2 linked regions of the Xenopus tropicalis genome follow. The protein of the gene in region 2 interacts with the protein of the main gene of each other region in a biochemical or structural test. Links are inferred from orthologs where the notes say so. Each region holds a gene or a part of one and is shown on either strand. Other genes may lie near its edges. The genes, in order: git1 and ppfia1.

The links.
Region 1: the proteins of ppfia1 (region 2) and git1 form a complex in vitro, tested with the Homo sapiens proteins (2 studies listed by BioGRID). The link is inferred for Xenopus tropicalis from reciprocal best matches to the Homo sapiens genes PPFIA1 and GIT1.

What each region holds. Positions count from the first base shown.
Region 1 is NC_030678.2:32,819,740-32,823,382, reverse strand, and holds the end of git1 (ARF GTPase-activating protein GIT1), read right to left. Parts: intron 3,444-3,643; coding exon 3,231-3,443; 3' UTR 590-3,230; downstream 1-589. UniProt on the Homo sapiens protein: GTPase-activating protein for ADP ribosylation factor family members, including ARF1.
Region 2 is NC_030680.2:14,493,385-14,497,214, reverse strand, and holds part of ppfia1 (liprin-alpha-1), read right to left. Parts: intron 1,837-3,830; coding exon 1,573-1,836; intron 1-1,572. UniProt on the Homo sapiens protein: May regulate the disassembly of focal adhesions. May localize receptor-like tyrosine phosphatases type 2A at specific sites on the plasma membrane, possibly regulating their interaction with the extracellular environment and their association with substrates.

The sequences.
Region 1 (3,643 bases), on a different chromosome or scaffold from region 2:
GGGAGTTTGTTAGCAGTTGGAAATAGCCATTAAATGGTCCCTAAGGTGTGTAATTATATGCTGGGGGTTGCTGTGCTATCCACAGGGGAGGAGGAGGCATATGGATGTAAGGGTGTGTCTTAATATGACATAATTCTTTAACATATGAATGATGGTTGATATCCCATTGTGATAAAATGGGTGTGGTTTGAAGTGGGTGTGGTTTAAAACGGGGGCGTGGCCAAAACTGGCTTCCATTAGCGGCCCTCCACCATGTATGCAAGAGAAATTCCGGCCATCGGCACCGCAGAAGTTGGACAGCACTGGTCTAGAATGTCTATATTCACCTGTAGAGTTAGGTTTTCTATAATTGGAACAGAGACCTAGCCAAAACCAACAAATCAGCCCCAGACCATTACTCCTCCTCCACCAACCATTTCCAATTGGCATGATGCATTCAGGCAGGTAGTGTTCCCCTGGCATCTGCTAGACCCAAACTTTTCCATCAGACTGGCATGTGGTGAAATGCAATTTATCCATTTATTTCACCAATACCATCCAAGAGATCAATCTCCAAGAATTCAGCTTATAACAGACTCCATGGGACACATTCCATTGTTAGTTGTTTAATTTGATACAAATGTACAATATGAGCAATTTTATACATTACACCCACCACCAAGCTCTCACAAATAACAGGATGGAGAAGGTCGGCCATTTTGCACTAATCTGTATGAACAAGTACGGCAAGGGGGGAGCTGAGAGATTCTGAGCAGCAGGTTTTTTAAAATACAAATCCCCAGCAAGATCAGTGGGTGGCAGCGGGTCCCTCTCATGTAGTGGCTTCTGGGAGCATCTTGTAAGAAGTACAATCATTTTGCCTACTGTGTAAGAACAAAGCTTGCAGATACGCGCGGATGGAACAGCAGGACCGCTGCTCACATTCAATGCCCAAACTACCTTTAGTCTAACCTTACGGCGCTAACCCAACAGCAACATTATTCCGGAAAGATCTAGCCAATATGAAAAGATGGCTTCATGTATGAGGTCCTTTTTCTGTCCTTTACAGTCCATTTAGCTCCTTACGGCTTTCCAAAGAATGCAAAGGGGCATTTGCTGTAAAGAGCAATAGACTTTTGGCCACTAACATAGAATAAAAGACAACGTTACTAGTCCTTGCCATAATAAAAAAAAAGGGCATCTGCTTGCATGTTTTTTGGCACAGAAAGTGACACACAGAAACAGAGAATTGAGGAATCTACACTCTTATTCCATTTAATCTAGCTTTTTATTTTGCCCCCTTCTTACAAAAACATAACGATCTCCAAAAATATAAGTGACTTCTACTTGGCAGCAGCAGGGTCTATATCTCGCCACAGCTGCTTTGTTTTTATGTATTTCCATCTTCTGTGTAAAGAGATTTCCATAAGGCATTATACCGGGACTGTGCAACCTGTGCCCTCTGCCAGTATCAAATATGGCTGCCAAGAGCTGCAATCCATTACAGCGAAAAAGCCACAGGTTGGCATCCCTTGTTTTGGCAAAGGCAAGCATTCCTACAAAGCCAATCTACTAATGAAAGTGGATAATTTTTCATCTGAATGTGAAATTCAGGATACAAATTATATGAGTCATTTCCAGGGTAATAATTGGTCAGCTTGTGGGGGTTTAAAATTAATTTAAAAAAAAAAAAATTCAGTTGGTGTGTGGATTCTACCCAATAGAAGTGTAAGGTCTCTGCCAGCGGCTGTATCTATGGCAGACACTGGTAACATTACTTACGGCAATAGGTAAAATGTTGCGACTCCCACACTAAGTGCAGGCCCCAAGGATACGGCAAGCATAAAATCCATTGGAGCAGCACTGCCAGTGGGATACTGAGCCTTACATTGTACTTCACGTCAGCAGGCAATATATATATATATATATATATATATATATATAATATACATGATTTTGATACATAGACATCCGGGGAGGAGGCAGGGTTAGGGTAGGGGCCTGTCTGCCACAGGGTGCCTAAGAAGTCAGTGCAAACATCAAGTTATATTTCTGGCCACTCTGAGCATTGCCGTTGTGCTACTCTTTAGAGTAAAACATTAAAGTGGTTATCATATCAATTATTTAACAGTCGTCCAACATCAATCCCCCTACTGTTCACATAAAAAATGCTTAGTAAATATTATATGTATATATTCATATATATACACACGCATTGATTCCAGTGTATGTTTAGCATTGGCCTTGATCACATTAATAACAATCTGCGGCACTGCATGGTAAGGACTGGCTGCTCTAGTGCTGGAGCGAATGCATGTCCGGCTCAGCATGAGTCTTGTGCTTTGCCTAGTGTTTGCAGCATGGCGCATGTAACTGCCACCTATGGATGAGTGCTGCCCCCTGCTTGGTGCCAGGGAAGTGTATGTGATTGGCTGCCTGACACAGGCTATGCATGGGCCCTGCTCTAGAGCAAACAGACTGGGGAACATACAATGTGCACCTTTAGCTGCTGTCTATTTGCTGCATAGTACATAGTCATGATGCCTCCTGCCTCAGGGTGCTGCCTGGTCACAGCTAAAGGGTGCCAAAATATGCAGCCCCACAACACAGCTTCAATCACACGCGTCATATCCTACAGCACAGATTACATATTAGTCTCTTCAAACCACTATCAGAACAAGGAAATATGAAAGACTATAAAAGGAAATTGTGCTATTCTGGAACTCTATGATTGCACCTTTAAACTTAAATAAAAGGCGCTGGTTACAGCTCTGTGGGGCTTGGGGTGACATATTCTAGCTGCAGTTGCACACAAGTACATTATGGAACCTGATCCACCTGTACTGTGAGAACCACTTGTACTGTATACTCTGTTCTGCTACATATGATGATAGTGATGGGGAGAGAATTTCACCCAGGCCCAAATCTTTACAATAGGAGAACACACAGGACTGTACTTATATTGCAATCATTATATTCCTTCAGCGTTTAGCGTTTGTTAGGAACGTCCAACCAGAGAGTACAGACAGTAGGATGGTACAGAGCAAGGTCAGTATTGCACATATACAGGGGGGTTATGGGGCTGCACATTTCATCCAGCTATTGTGGAATGTAGGAAGCCAATTCCTAGGGTTAGAGGGGTGACGGGCTGTGCCCGCCCCTCGGAGTCATGTGTGAAATATGAAAGGATAGCAAAATTGATTGCAAATTGACAGTTTGGAAATGGAAATGCCAGTTGGCTGCTGGAGTGGTCACTGCTTCTTCTCGCGGGTGGTGATGGTGACCAGCTGTTTGGCAGCTTTTGCGATGTCATAAGCGCACTGGATGACCTGCTGTGTCAGAAGTTGGAAGTCCACAGAGGCCCCAGGTTCTGGCGGGATGGTTTTGCGGCACTCACTTTGCAGTCGGTAGGCGCTAGCGTTCAGTAGCCGCAGTGATGATCGCACTGTCTCCAGGGCAGGTTTCTGCCACAAACACAGGAGAAAATACAGTGGAGGTTAGAGAGTCACTGGCCAACTGCATAGGGGATCCATGTCTTCTACATCACTGGGAACTAGTTACATCCACACAGATACACAAATACTTTTCTGCCCTCATTTTCTATTGCTTGATTACTTGTGCTCTTATTAGTTCTTTAGTTCTTCTAATATATATATATATATAT
Region 2 (3,830 bases):
AAAAAAAAAAAAAAAAAAAAAAAAGCTACAAATACATAAATAAACAGTTGGTGGCCTGAAAGGAGTGTAGATGCAACAACACGGTATATACCCAAGGGTAACCAAAAACAAGCACACTAAGGGGCATATTTATAGTGTGTAAGCCAACATCGCCGGTGATGTTGCCCACAGCAACCAATCAGATCTTTGCTTTTGTTTTCTAACTTGTAGGTGACTGTTAAAATCTAATTGCTGATTGGTTGCTATGGGCAACATCCTCTGTGATGTTGGCTTACACACTTTAATAAATGTGCCAGTACAATTCATTAGGTTCCATCTGTAAAGGAAATCCCCAAAAAAGACACCAGTTATAATATTCTGAAGGGCCACACTAGGCAAAAAATGATCCAGCCAAGGCATCTGCTGAACAAACCAATCAACGAGGGGTACCCTTGCAATGTATTCGGCCAGATATTGAATACATGGGCCGAAGAATCAGCTGAACACCCTTTGCCAGACAAGCTCTAAAACACACTGGCTAGAACACGCTGGATAGAATTTAGAGCCTAAAGCACAAAAATCTGCTCAGCTACAATGTACAGTGTATGCAATACAGCACATCAGCAGAAGCCCAGAGGAAGACGCAGTAAGCACAATGTCAGTGTTACTTGCCTTGTCAGCTTCTTCTTGACATGCACAAAAGTCCTCCCAATCCCAGTTCAAACATATAACAGGCTCTATACAAGCACTGGGAAGCTTTCAGAACCCAGTACCCACCAGTCACAGGTACAAACCGACCAACCAGCTCAGCATTAGTCACAAAAATCACAATAAAGTAGGGCAGTGGTTCTATTGGCTGGAGTATTGCTACTCTGTATTCTACTCTTTAGGACAGCACTTCCCAAACTGTGGTATTTTAGAACACTGGACCCTCAGTTATCTTCAGGCAGGTGAGATTTTCCAATTAAAGGGGAACTCACCCAAACACAACTTTTCGAAACAAACATAATTTGAAGCAACTTTGTAATATACATGAATAAAAAAATACGCAGCCTTTTCATAATGTCTAATGTAATAATAGGGATTGGAACAGTTCCCTAAGCCCCGCCCCCTGTTCCCCTGCTGATCTGGCTGACTACTTTGAGACTCAAATAAAATGTAACAGTAGTCACCTGTTCTCAGCCTGTATCCTCACAATCCCACAATTCCCTGCACAAGTCATGTCAACAAGGAAAGGAACATCACGGTGCAATGCATTGTGGGTAATGTAGTCTTTGCATACTGTCTGTAAGCTGTTACAATTTGTAACATCAGTGTTTTAGTCCCTCCTCCCCTGAAAGGATTTCAGATGATGCAGGAAGAGAGGAAGTGTTTTGCACCTGGATTTCAGCATATAAAAATGGAATTTATTCATTCTTTTTAAGGGAACAGATTACAGTGATAAGTACATTAGGGTTTTATGTGTAGTGTCTTTAACACATTTCTGTAGTTCCCCTTTAACAATAGATATATACACACACACACATATATTTAGTCACATAAACAAATACAAACTGATACAAAGGGTAAAAACACCCCAAAAAAGCCTTGTACCTGCGGAAGGGCCGTGTTCAGCTGCCTCTGGAGAGAGTCCCGCTCATGGCTGGCTTCCTGGAACTTGCTCTGGCTCAATGCTAGAGATTCCTGGGTTTCCCGCAGTGTGTCGAGCAGTCGGTCTCTTTCCTCCAACATGGACACCATAAGCTGCTCAAAATGAGAATCGGAGTCTGCCTGTAAAGGAGACCCGGAGCCATGGCCTCCATTGCCCCCGGATGGCATCTCAGCCTCGCTAATTGTTGGCATCACTTCACACATCATCTGTGGAAAGGAAGGAGAAATCAATTAGCCGATTGGTCGCCTTTAATGAACATTCATTGGCATAAGATCAAATCCACGCCTGACATAGCAAGCAATAAGCAGTAATAAGCAGGTAACGAACACGCTCGTGTTTAGCCACAAACTCTGAACCAGGTCCTGTTGCACGGCTGTGTTGACATGTTTTCCTGCTAAGGTGTCAGACTAGAGAAACACCCAGCCCTGTGTAACAGCTGATAAAACCAAAGCAGGGATGGGTGTTGAGTGATCTGAAATCCGTGGCATAAAAGGGAAGTAAAAGCTGATATTTACACAACAGACAGCCATATAGATCACCCAGACTGCTTACAGTACTCACAGCAGGGTTATCTAACCAGACTCCGCACAGCTGCTGCTGAACTGCAACTCACACAATCCCTTAGACAGTCAAAAGAGTAGTTTCAGGTAACTAAATTGGATATCCCATCTACAACATTACAGAAAAGAGCTAGCTTGTTTCCTTTCTCTTCTCTGGTTCTGACTCCTGCAACAATGTAGCAGAATCACTTTTCTTTAGGTCTGTCGCTTTGGCCTCTGCTACATTTTTTTAACCCAGTAATTAGGAGAATATAAAACAGCCAGGTATATATGGTAATCAGGGACCTTCCCATTATATACAGGTATGGAATCCGTTATCCGGAAATCCATTATCCAGAATTACGGAAAGCCTGTCTCCCATAGACTCCATTTTAATCAGATTTTTAAAATGGATTTCCCGTTTTTCTGTAATGATAAAACAGAACATTGTATTTGATCCCAACTAAGATATAATTACCCCTTATTGGGGCAGAACAGTCCTATTGGGGTTATTTAATGGTTAAATGATTCCCTTTTCTCTGTAATAATAAAACAGTACCTGTACTTGATCCCAACTAAGATATAATTACCCCTTATTGGGGGCAGAACAACCCTATTGGGTTTATTTCATGGTTAAATGATTCCCCTTTCTCTGTAATAATAAAACAGTACCTGTACTTGATCCCAACTAAGATATAATTACCCCTTATTGGGGCAGAACAGTACTATTGGGTTTATTTAATGGTTAAATGATTCCCTTTTCTCTGTAATAATAAAATAGAACATTGTATTTGATCCCAACCTAGATATAAATAATCCTTATTGGATGCAAAATAATCCTGTTGGGTTTAATTAATGCTTTATTGATTTTTTAGTAGACTTAAGATATGGAGATCCAAATTACGGAAAGACCCCTTCTCCTGAGCATTCTAGATATAGGAGCCGTTATCCAGAATGCTCAGGAGAAGGGGTCTTTCTGTAATTTGGATCTCCATATCTTAAGTCTACTAAAAAATCAATAAAGCATTAATACAATGAAAAGAAGCCCCTGACCTGCACCAGAAGGAGTTTCATGTAATAAAATCCTTCTCGGAGCACTTTGTGCTGCCATTAATGGGGATCCTTTATACCAAATTAAGCAGACCTTAGGTGTATAGCCGGCTTTAGTATAACACAGAAAAGTAATGAATTACACCACACCTTTAATTGGAATAGAATTCACTCAGTCCAACATAATAAGGCTAATTAACATGCTTGAATAAATGAGACCTAAGGCTACAGGAAGCCTGAATAAAAATGCTTTACACATAGATCGTTTGATGTAGAGCGTAATAACTTAAGAATTTGCAATTGGTCTTCATTTTTTTTATTATCTGTAGTTTTTCAATTTTAGTTCAACAGCTATCTGGTTGCTAGGGTACAAATGACCTTAGCAACCAGGGAGTGGTTTGAATGAGAGACTTCAGGAAAGGACCTGAATAGAAAAGTAAGTTATGAAAAGTAACAACAATAAATCTGTCTACCCACAGAGCAATAGTTTTTGGCTGCTGCTTCAAGTACAGGTATGGGAACTGTTATTTAGAATGCTCGGAACCTGGGGTTTTGCAGGTAAAGGATCTTTCTGAAATTTGGATCTCCATACCTTAAGTCTACTAAAAACC